Yarrowia lipolytica: one gene and its partners. The protein of the gene in region 1 binds, or shares a complex with, the protein of each later gene. Links are inferred from orthologs where the notes say so. Each region holds a gene or a part of one and is shown in the gene's direction. Other genes may lie near its edges.

The links.
Region 2: YALI1_E00318g (region 1) and YALI1_F09896g share a complex: the UniProt entries of both Schizosaccharomyces pombe proteins name them as parts of the mitochondrial large ribosomal subunit. The link is inferred for Yarrowia lipolytica from reciprocal best matches to the Schizosaccharomyces pombe genes mrpl10 and mrpl15.
Region 3: YALI1_E00318g (region 1) and YALI1_F23351g share a complex: the UniProt entries of both Schizosaccharomyces pombe proteins name them as parts of the mitochondrial large ribosomal subunit. The link is inferred for Yarrowia lipolytica from reciprocal best matches to the Schizosaccharomyces pombe genes mrpl10 and mrpl38.
Region 4: YALI1_E00318g (region 1) and YALI1_D12750g share a complex: the UniProt entries of both Schizosaccharomyces pombe proteins name them as parts of the mitochondrial large ribosomal subunit. The link is inferred for Yarrowia lipolytica from reciprocal best matches to the Schizosaccharomyces pombe genes mrpl10 and mrpl23.

The regions. Positions count from the first base shown.
Region 1 is NC_090774.1:30,287-33,202, forward strand, and holds YALI1_E00318g (uncharacterized protein), read left to right. Parts: upstream 1-1,563; coding exon 1,564-2,355; downstream 2,356-2,916. Other genes in the region: YALI1_E00306g (uncharacterized protein), read right to left, coding at 1-386; YALI1_E00337g (uncharacterized protein), read right to left, coding at 2,795-2,916. UniProt on the Schizosaccharomyces pombe protein: Component of the mitochondrial ribosome (mitoribosome), a dedicated translation machinery responsible for the synthesis of mitochondrial genome-encoded proteins, including at least some of the essential transmembrane subunits of the mitochondrial respiratory chain.
Region 2 is NC_090775.1:987,718-990,795, forward strand, and holds YALI1_F09896g (mitochondrial 54S ribosomal protein mL57), read left to right. Parts: upstream 1-1,909; coding exon 1,910-2,533; downstream 2,534-3,078. UniProt on the Schizosaccharomyces pombe protein: Component of the mitochondrial ribosome (mitoribosome), a dedicated translation machinery responsible for the synthesis of mitochondrial genome-encoded proteins, including at least some of the essential transmembrane subunits of the mitochondrial respiratory chain.
Region 3 is NC_090775.1:2,333,478-2,336,015, forward strand, and holds YALI1_F23351g (mitochondrial 54S ribosomal protein uL14m), read left to right. Parts: upstream 1-1,645; coding exon 1,646-2,035; downstream 2,036-2,538. UniProt on the Schizosaccharomyces pombe protein: Component of the mitochondrial ribosome (mitoribosome), a dedicated translation machinery responsible for the synthesis of mitochondrial genome-encoded proteins, including at least some of the essential transmembrane subunits of the mitochondrial respiratory chain.
Region 4 is NC_090773.1:1,273,138-1,276,109, forward strand, and holds YALI1_D12750g (mitochondrial 54S ribosomal protein uL13m), read left to right. Parts: upstream 1-1,920; coding exon 1,921-1,941; intron 1,942-2,016; coding exon 2,017-2,460; downstream 2,461-2,972. Other genes in the region: YALI1_D12760g (uncharacterized protein), read left to right, coding at 2,940-2,972. UniProt on the Schizosaccharomyces pombe protein: Component of the mitochondrial ribosome (mitoribosome), a dedicated translation machinery responsible for the synthesis of mitochondrial genome-encoded proteins, including at least some of the essential transmembrane subunits of the mitochondrial respiratory chain.

The DNA.
Region 1 (2,916 bases):
GTCACATTTCCCTTTCTGCCATGCTCTTGAAACTGATCCTCAGTGGGCTCTGCACCTATCTTCTCAAGAATCAAGTCGTATGCCACAGATCGCCATTTCCTGCCAGCATCAAATGCGTATTCGGCTTCCTCGGGCTCGCATAGAATCTGTAGAAATGTATATAGCTGGCCATAGTCGAACCACGCATTTGCCACTCGGTGCGCGTTGTTCTCATTTGTATTTGATAGCAGCCTGTATACCCGTGATGCATGCTCATCTTGGATGTAATCCTGTGCCGACCCGAAACTGAACCTCTGTAGAATGGCCATTTGAGACTCGGCAAACTTCTTGTACCCCACATCGTCCTTCAACCACACTTTTAAGCTTAGTGAATTCCATGGCTCCATACCCTGCTAGACTAGGACACAGATCGAACCGCTCCTTGAGAACTTTGGCAGGGTTCAGGGTATTGATGACACCTGCGTCGATTCCAAACACAGACGTGTTGAGGATGACAACATTGTCGGGAAAGTCAAACGCACAGAAATCCGTGTCGTTCGTCATGACGTAGGTTGGCTTACCAGGGTTCTGTGTAGCATAGTTGTACACCAGAGTGGCGAGTATATCATCGCATTCACCGGGGGCAATTCGACAAGAAATGTCTGGAAACTCTGTCAGAATGGTATCTGAACACACATCTGCGCATCCTGCTGGGAGACAGAACGACTTTGCCTCTATTCCTTCTTTGACTCGGATATCTCGTCGTCTCTCAGTCTCTTTGAACTTTGATAATGGAGTCAATCCATCGAACAGAATCATCTCGATTTTCCACCCGGCTAGAAGCCACTTTCTGAGCACGACTTCCATGTGACACCTCACTGCCCTAAGATCGTACTTGGCACCAGGCATACATCGTTCAGTCACCATATGGCTCATGGAGTGACCATCGATGAAGACCCGGCCATCGGCAAACTCCTTCAGCTGTTTGCGCACATAGAGCGACTTCAATTGCGTATAGTATCCAGGAATACCCATCTACAATTGGGCCTTGGTATGAGTAATGGGTATGAAGTACTGGTCTCAGATGAGATAGAGTGTGAAGTGAAGGTTCTCTCCACATATGTATGTACCTACTGTCTACTGTATCGTGTGTTTAGAAGATGCAGGTGTGTCTGAGTTGTTATAGGGGTTTAACAACGTGGCGGAAGAGCCAGATACCTGATTAAACACTAATAGCGGGCATGTTCTTAAGACTGAAAAAAAGTCAGTACAAGTAGTCAGAGTTGGTCGCACATCAAATGCTTACTAATCAGTATGGTATTTACTTACAGCGGTATGAGGTATTTAGGAGTGTCATTCAAGTGTCTTGCACAAATATTTCAGATGTGAAAACTGGGAAATATACTGATGAGAAGCAGAAATTTGGATTTCCTCAAAGAAATTTACCCCTTTTCTCACAAAAACACCCTCAAATTGACCACCGTTCGTACATTCGGTATGGTCTAAAATAAAGTTGCAAATTTACACTACGGTGTGTAGGTTGAAAAATCGAGCATCCGACATAGGTACAAAACACCACCCACAATGAACGCGCTTATGAAGAAGTGGACCAGCCTGGTTGTTCCCACGGGAACCCGGTCGTACTCGTCCATGGTCATGACTAAGCTCAAGGACATCAACCACAAGAACAACCAGAAGGTGGGTCGAGGTGTGCAGTCTGGGCGAGGTAAGACCTCCAAGCGAGGACAGAAGGGTCAGAAGTCCCGAGAAAGTATTCCTCTGGGTTTCTCCGGTCACCAGCAGCGATGGTATCTGCGATACCCCAAGCTGTCCATTCCTCGACGTGAGAAGTTTGTCGGAGTGTCTGTTTCCGACATTCAGAAGTGGATCAACGATGGCCGACTTGATGCCTCTAAGCCCCTGGGCGTTCGAGACCTGGTTCTGTCTGGTCTGTGCTCTTCCAAGCTCGGAATCAAGATTTTCGCCCGACGAGACGTGCCTCTCACCGCAAAGATCGACCTGACTTCCAACAAGGCCTCCCAGGCTGCTATTGAGCAGATCGAGGCTGCCGGAGGCAAGTTCACCGCCAAGTACTACTCGCCCGTGGGTCTCAAGATCGAGCTCAACGAGAAGCGACTGCTCGACAAGACTGGTCGAATCCCCAAGCAGCCCCATCCTCTGCGGCGAAAGGACGTGGAGTACTACATGAACCCCGAGAACCGAGGCTACCTGGTGGGCTACGAGCGACCCAAGTACACCAAGACCGCCGTCAAGCGAACTACCAAGCCCGGCTGGGAAGAGCGAATCAAGACTCTCAAGGATTCCAGCTCCAACGTGGCTTCCGGTTTCAACAACAACGGAATCGAGGTCTTGTAAAACGAATGTATATAGTATATGATATTGATAACGGAAAGGAGAAGGAGTAATGCTACGGGAATAGTATTAGCACGTTGGGGCTTGAGTCTCTCATATGTATAGCCTGACTGGGGTTGTTTCATATAGACCTTGTACCAGTCTCAGCGTGCAGTCGTAAGACATTGGACACCACACTCTGACAAATACAAACAACGAACGGATTTAGAATATGCGTCACATTTTACAGCCACTTAGCTCACGATACAATTTGTGAGTACAAGTACTCTCGCACCATCGCACTCTTTCCAATTCACCTACAGCTGGATCATTATCCGCCTAGCCAATCATGAGCCAACCTTACCGATTATTAATGTACATACTGTACAAGCACATTCTGTATTTGAAGATTAATAATGTTACATGCATAGCCTTTTTGGTATCGATTCCATCTTCCCCCACTCTAGTTCAGCTTGGGCACCTTTCCTTGAGCAGCCCAATACTCTCGTCGCTTCTGGAGCAGGTTATCAGCCAGCTCAGATACCTCGGCAGTCTTGATGGCAGATCGGACCTGAGTAAAGTCTG
Region 2 (3,078 bases), on another chromosome or scaffold:
GCCGTGCATGTTTAATTTCTAGACAAAGGAACGTGTGGTCACATGACGTTTTTCAAATGCCGAACCACGCGGTCTCCAACGATCCTTGTGGTCAAAATACTGCGGTTTTCAGGCGACAAAAAGAAAATTGAAACTTGCACCGACACTAGTGACACAGAACCAGTGGCCCCATGTCTGAAATACGCTGGCTCGTCCCGGGGATCGTTTCAAAAGGACGTGTTTCTGTGTTTCTGAGGGTTGCTAATCCGGGGTAAATAGTCTCCCTTTTAGATTCCCCTTTAGATTCCCTCTTTGCTCCGTATCACAAGACACAACATGGGCTGACAGCACCCAAAAGAGGTTCAGCAAACACACGATAATTACGAGTGTCGTGGTTGTGGACCCATTGTTTTGTGTCGGACGAGACGTTTGTGGTGGTCTTGATGGAGTTTGTGGTGGTTATCATCTCCCAGATTTTTTGCGTCGTCATCTCTCTGGGGTTTCTCCGTTATGTTCTTGCTCAGTCTTCCTTGATACACCAGTTGGTGTCTTAGGTCTCTTTACCACGCCTTTGCCACTGGATATCATGCATCCGGACAGTTGGCAAACCTCATGTGATGGTCGCGTATTATCACGTCTGCAAAGATATATAAAGACATGGGTCCCCTCCCCCCTCTATCTTTCCGTAACACACGATGCGAAATACCAACACTACCAACATGAACCACGACCCACCGGTGAGACGCTCCGGAACATGCACCCTGTGTATGGACAAGGTGTACATTGACGAGCTGTACACTCATCGCAAGATCTGTAAACCTGACGATACGGAAATGATTCTGGCCGATAAGCAGTCTGAAGAAAACCTCGCAAGGCAGTACTACCTGCATCCCACCTATTCACAACAGCAAAGATGGTGGGGAAGTTTCGTGCCCCATTTGTGGTGTCAGTAACCTGGCAGCACTAGCTGAGAAGCTGCTGTGAGATGTGAGCTAATCATACATGCTGACCTCCTTGTCCTCAAGATTTAACATAGCTCACACCTGGAACCTCCGCTACATACACTGTCGTGAATTCCAGATACTAATTACGAATACGAGTACGAATACGAGTACGAGTAGCTACCGAACAAGTATGCCCGTGTTCAATCACTCATGAGAAATGAAAACGAGAAAAATATAATGAAAAATACGATAATATTATTGATGAATACAAAATCAGTTGTATATACCCCAAGTACAGTAGCAACCATTGGTTTAGGACCTTCATATACCAGTACATACATCTACAGACAAAGACAGCGACCATAGATATGGTAAGAGCACTTGTATTGTCATGTGGGGGAACGGTATAGTTGTCCTAATCAATCTGAGATTCATTATGAACAGATTTCTAGTATTTATCCTCCTTTTTCTATGTATAATTGTTAGAAATATTCTATGCAGAAGTTGTCCGAAATGTACTATCGATAACCATCATGTGCATGTACAAGTACACTGTACAAGATGTATCATACGAGAATGTACTGTACCGATACTTGTAGTCATTATAGATATCCCACTCGAGGTTTTTGTTTATGTCGTGTAAAGGTCTCATTATCGCTTGGATCAGTCCGATACCAGATCATCTCTCACTCCTGGTCTTCGTTAGTTAGCTTCACTGTACTTGGACTCTAGTTGAATACCTCGTCTATCAACATTACAACAAGTCACTCAAATCAGCTCCAGTAAACTCAAATATTTCCAAGAAAATTGTATGCCCATTTTTCCCTTTCATTTTACACCCCTTTTTACAACTTCTACTCCTCTGGCACCGGTATTCCAACATTTCCCACAAGACACCACCGAGAATCGAACTCACCACCCTCTCACATTTCACCCCCCAAGCAGTCGTCCCTTCTCAGGTCCCAAACCTTATCCACTTACCCTACATGAAATTTTCACACAAGCACAGATACACACTCACGTTGCAGAGTTCCACAAACAGCACACCCACCATGTTTGGCCGTCTTTTCACCCGGCAATTGTCGTACCAGCAGCGCCGAATCCCCCGCTCGGCGATTCTGCAGGGTCCCGTGACTCTGGACGTTTTGGCCAAGGACTCGACCCGTCCTTATGGTCTGTCCGAATCCAAAAAGGAGATTGATGCTCTGAAATCGTCCCTGTCGGACTCCGTCAGCGGCCTGGAGGACTCTCTGCTGCTCCAGGTGCTCACACACAAGTCCTTTGCTGGCGGACTGCCCTCTCACAACGAAAAACTGGCGTTTGTGGGCCGAAAGTTTTTCCCAGTCTCGGTTCTCTCTCACAACCTGTCCAAGGAGGCCTCAAGCGACCCCGTCAAGGCTCTGGAGTCGCTCAACTTTGATCTGTCTGGGTTTGCCGCAAAAAACGGCCTCGAAAAACTCGTCTACTGGAACACCAAGGGAGTCACGAACGCCACTCCTTCATCAAAGATCACCAGCGGATCCGTCTACGCCCTGGTGGGCGCTATTCTCCTCAAGAAGGGCGAGAAGGCCGCCCATGAGTTCGCCCAGAAGGTGGTCCAGCAGAATTAAACTTGTATATATGAGGGGATGCACACCAACCAACCAAGTGTGAAGCACATAGCAAATGTGAATGATGAATGCATTGAATGAACAATCAAAGCCAACCAGCAAACGAGCGTGGATAGAGACACAGCCAGATCAGTAGGTATGAGTGTCAGATCGGCAGGTCGATGTGTTGTAATACAAGAGGGTAGGAGCATCACCAGATTACTATCGAACATACTGTAGTAAGAGAACGCATATACCAAAAGGATCCTTCCAAAGCAACATATAACCTGAATCGCAATGTCAGCAGAAGATGTCCCCACTGCCATAGAGGTGGATCGATAGTCTACCTGTAGTATTGGTGCACGTGACCTAGGTCAGACTGAGATGTCACGTACAAGAATTGAGACGCAGAATCACACACAAGGTAGCCTCGGCAATATCACTAATTATCACCTAAGTGATTTCCGCAAGATCAACAGAGTCATTTGTGGCCCGCGTTTCTTTCATCAACAGCTACTGAGAGGTTCGATATATATACTACAGTTACTCAGCAGATAGTTGAGAGA
Region 3 (2,538 bases), on another chromosome or scaffold:
TGGTCCGAAACCAGAAGGGCTCTTTGGTGTAGGTATCGTAGCAATGAGGAGTTTGGGGTGATCGAGCGGGGATTTGAGAAGGCACCACCCAAGTTCGTGGTCACGTGATTAATCCAGCGACTTTCCCGCCTCTTTTTGGTCCCCGAAACACCCTCTTCGGCCCCCTTGAGAAAATGTCACAGTACGCTGCAACATGCGCATAAATCCACCTGTTCACATTACATGAACTATTGCTTGGCTACCCTTTTGGTAAGCAATGAGCTAACCGAGAGACACGGAAGAGGGAGGGGGGTCCTTTTTAGAGCCGCTAAAATAAATGGCGCGCTGGTAAAGTGTCCACTTTTGGTCTTTATGGAGCAATGGCACGTGCTCTGATATAGATCCATTGCAATTCTGCGATCCAGCGGACGTGCCATACATCAATTCCATATCTCGATCACCTCGCAAGTCACTCTATTTACACATGGAATGTGTGTTTAAATTCTGGAAAAAACAGGCCCACAGGCTGAGTTGGAAAAACAGGGATAAGCAAACAAGGTTGGCTGGCTCTCCCAACACAGCAAATATGAGTGGATGTCAGACACAGTGGAATGAGAAAACAGCATACAGCATACATGGTCAGGGGTTTGAGGTGATATGGAAGAAGATCAGAGATACTCCCGGAGGATTTGACAGTACCCTATAAGCAAGCTGTTCACGTCATCTACCCTCGCGCCTATATACAACCCCAACTATTGGTTGTTGACATGGCTTCACAAGCTCCGAACTGTATTTACGCACTGCGAGATTCGTGTAAAATGAAATGCGCTTGTACTAACGTGATCTACGCGTGGCGCGGGGTTTGGTCGAGCTGAGGATTGATTGGCGCTGGATTCCGAGGCTGTATTTCAAGTCACGTGGGCTGAGAGAGAACGAGGCGAGATAACTGAAGCAGAAACACTACAAGTACAGTACTTGTAGTTAGTGTCTGGCGTTTCCCTTCGTACTGAAAACACTTACACACCCTACAATGACATCATGATCACCAAGAGTGATTGGTTCCGTGGAGATTTAGATATTTGAGATGCAAGAGTGTCGTCGGCTCCGGTGGCTTAGCTGCGCTACAGGTACTGTACATACTGTACTCGTACTTGTACCAGCTTGACATAGCTGGCACGTTCCAGTATATGATAGTGGAACCACTTGTTAGGTATATTGGTTGAATTTTAGTAAGCGGGATCAATTCAGCTGACCAATTGGTACTCAATGTATTTTACAGCCTATCTCCAGCATGTCTGGAACCCATGCTGTATCATACTCCTTCATGTTTCTGATCTCTACAATACTGTAACAAAGTTCCACTTTTTTTGGCCAACTCTTTTCCCAAATTCTTAGCATACATCTCACTTATGGATCTCATCCCCATTTAAGTGACAAACCCACAATCTCAACAGGCAATTATATTCAATAGGCGCTTTATATTATTAATACCTGGAAAAAACTCACATGACCTAATCCTCTTCCAGGGCTCCGCTAATTGTCGCCCTCCTTAGTCATATGCTCTGCTCATACACACTGTCATTTAAGGTTTCGAGAATCCAACTTTTCACCCAGATTTCAACATCTCAGTTAGGATCTAACACAACTACACACAACCTCACTCACCATGTTGTACCTCAAGTCTCTGATCAACTGCATCGACAACTCTGGTGCTCTGCTGGTCGAGTGCATCAAGGTGCTGCGAAAGTCACCCAAGAACTACGCCGGTGTCGGCGACAAGATTGTTTGTGTCGTCAAGCGGGCCCGACCCATTCCTAACGGCTCTTCCATCACCCAGAAGGCCCGAAAGGGTGAAATCAAGCGGGCTGTCATTGTGCGAACCAAGAAGGAGATCCGACGACCCGACGGCTCCTACATCCAGTTTGATGACAACGCCTGTGTGCTGATCAACGACGCCAACGAGCCCGTGGGTAACCGACTCAACGGAGTCGTTGCCAAGGAGGTGCGAGAGCGAGGCTTCACCAAGGTCGCTTCTCTGGCTCCCCGAGTCTTGTAATCTGTGCTTACCGTACCCGTACCGTAACCATGGCTTGTATATAGTATTTAAATGTTTGGTATTCACAAGCTGTAGTGTGGGATGGGTAGCTTGGAAACAAGGAGTGGTTGTAGTGCGAGTACAAGTAAGCCCAAGAAAGTAATTTATCGATGATTATAGATAATGAATGAATGTTGTCACAGATGTAGTTACAGCACTCGTACGAATACTTGTACCGTATGTACTTGTTCTGTGGGGATAGAGCTTGCCTCCATACTTCATCACTATCTTACTTCGTCACTATTGTACTCCATCATAGATTCAGCCATCCAGAAATAACATGTCAAAGTGCTATTTCGAGATAAGGAGCAACTCTTGTTTGTATCAACTTGAGGTTCCGTTCTAGAAGACGGTGTTTGATCAAGTAGAGAATCTCATAGCTATCGTCGTATGCCCTCAAAATGTCATCTCCACCCCATACCAACCAACGTCAGACCTCCTCCATTTTATGAGACAAAGTCTCA
Region 4 (2,972 bases), on another chromosome or scaffold:
AGGTAATATACGAGGACCACAGAACACACTCTCCAGTGCGCCACCCGCGCCGATAACGGAGCGACTGCGGAGCGGGGTCGCTCGCTGTGACGCTTTGACCTCGCTTGGCATGGTCTGCATCCTGAGTATCCCAGTGCTTTTGAGACGCTCGGAGGATTCCTCATACTTGCCGTTGCGGCCGCGTATTTTGGGTTTTTGCATTTTGACTTTGTTGCATCCTATTTTTTACGTCGGTTTTTGACACACTTTATTTTGGGCCCTTAGTTGTGCTTTGTAGTCGTTGGGGAGCTGTTTCGAGCTGTTAGAAGACGGAATTTTCACTGGAGACCCCCACTTTCCCCCCGAGTTCACTCCGTCGGCTTTTTGGTCCTCCATTGTCCCCCACGGAGACCGTTACTGACAAGCTTATGACTCTTATCTAGCGTCGGAACAGCCGTGTGCGATCCGGCGACTGAGCACCGTCTTCCCAAAGTGTGATTTACGAGCCGTGACTTTATCTCCATTATACGACAGTGGCTCCGCCACCGGCTCCACCTCTAGAATGTTACCACCACCGGCACGAGTTGACGCTTCTACATCTCCAGTTTTCCACACCCGATTTGCGATGACCAATCACTTGGCGCAGCCTCTTGTCTCTTGCGGATACCGTTCCCGATTAGACGGACCAACTGCACGTAAACTGGGTTTCTGGGTGGCCCTTGTTCGGCGTTTCGTTGCTGCAGAAAGACAAGACGAAATCTGAAAAAATCTGAAAAACTACACCTCCCACCTGTGAACTAACGCGGCAGTGAGAATGACCATGATATAGCAATTTCGGAGTAGATACGACGAAAAAACATAGAGAAGGAACCCCGCCACCATTAACGCGACCACTCAAACAACCTCTATACCCTCCATGATAGCCCCCATGGCACCTCGGGTACAGTACGTCACATAAAACCGTGTCCTCTCCCCTCGCCTTGGCTAACATCTCCTCTCCTGCCTCACCAATGTCTTACCCAGCCAAATGGAGGCCGCATTTCTGAGGCGTCAGAATTAATTTGGTGCTATTAATCACTGATGATAGGTGGACTTGGCCTGGTACAAATTCCGATATTTAAAAGGGGGTGACTGGTTGCAATTTTTTTATGTATATATTATATATATACATTACAGTATATATACAACAATATATATACAGTATATATATTTTTATATTAGCTTGTTTGTCTCGTTTTTTTTTTTCCTCCCCCATATTCTAAAATAAGAATCCAACAACAAAACACACAAAGGCAGGTTTAAAAAAGGTCGATTAACTGGATTTTTTGGTTCTAAAAAAAGACGGACCCTCTCCAACATAAAAGAAACCTGCAACTCTTCCTGACCAAAAAAAAAAAAAAAAAAAAAAAAAAAAAAGGAAATCCAACATATTACGAGTACGAGTATGAGTACTTAACCATCTCACAAAAATCGATTGCCATTCTCCGTCGAGATCATGACCCAGTTCTAAATGTATCAACAGACAATCTTAAGGCGTCAAATACAACTGACCGACTGGAGTATAAGTTGGTGATTAGCTAATCAAAAGACACCAACAACAATACCATTGCACTCAGAACAGAACCCCGATGTATTCCATCAATATCCATCTTTTATATCTCTCAGCTCTCCTGAAGTTATCGATCCAGCTATGAGGATCATTTTCCTTCCAACAGCTTCATTTGGACCACAAAACAATGACGTGGCATCAGAAGGGCTTCTTCACAGGCCATCAGCTCATTTCTCAGTTCATCTCCTCCTGGAAGCTCTCGTATTCATACTTGTACTTGTACTACTGTCTATCGCCATACTCCCGAATAAAGTTGCTTACTCATCTCCTCCCACAACCCTCATCCCGCTCAAATTAACGTTCGAAAATTTCACACACCATCACGAATCAACATGTCACAGACTATTGGTAAAGTGAGTATTTGAGCGGCGGAAGCAGGTGTCTTCTGAGCAAATCGTCAACATACCCTTGTTTTCTTACTAACCCAGGCACGTCTGGCTTTTTCCAGAACCTGGCACTTTGTGGACGTGGCCAAGGAGCAGCGAACCCTTGGTCGACTGGCCACCTCCATCGCCCAGACTCTCCAGGGTAAACACAAGCCCGTGTACAACACCGGCCACGACTGCGGCGACTATGTGGTTGTCGTGAACGCCGACAAGCTGCGATTTTCGGGCTCCAAGCTGCAGCAGAAGGAATACTTTGTGCAGTCGTCTCAGCCTGGTCACTCTCACCATGTGGCTGTCAAGCGAGTGATTGAGAACCAGGGAGTCAGCGAGGTTCTGCGACGAACCGTTGCCGGTATGCTGCCCCGAAACAAGCTCAAGCGGGGCCGAATCGCCCGGCTCAAGGTCTTTGAGGGCACCGAGCATCCCTACAAGCAGAACCTCGTGGCCTACCATGACGAGGCTGGCGTTGTGGTCAAGAAGGATTAAATGGAGGAAACGGAACTTTGTATATAGAGCATAAGAATGTTGATATGACTTAAACGGGGCGGAATAGGGTGTGTTGGAGCTCTGGTCTGGGCTTAGGAGCAGTAGGTGATCCCTTGAACTTGTACCGGAACTTGTAGCCAACTGGGGTGTTTGAAGTATCACGTGAGCATTTGTAATAACATACAATGGTTCTGTTGCTGTTCCTGCTATACAGTACTTATCAACTATAGTATCATCGCCTCTGGATGGTTTGACATGTTATAGCGTCTCAGATCAGACTTCAGACGATGGGTATTAGTAATACGTGAGCACGGACACAACAAGAAGCAGTTAATTATACAAGAGAAGAGAAGTAGACAGATTTTGATAGGGGCAATCGATTAGTCAGCGTCTAATAATACTACCCCTCTATTCCTTTCATCCTCATTCGTTCTAGGGCACAATGTACTCGGTTCTTTCAAAATCGGGTTGCTCACATCATGGGTTTAAGTTGCAACCCAATCGCTTCATTA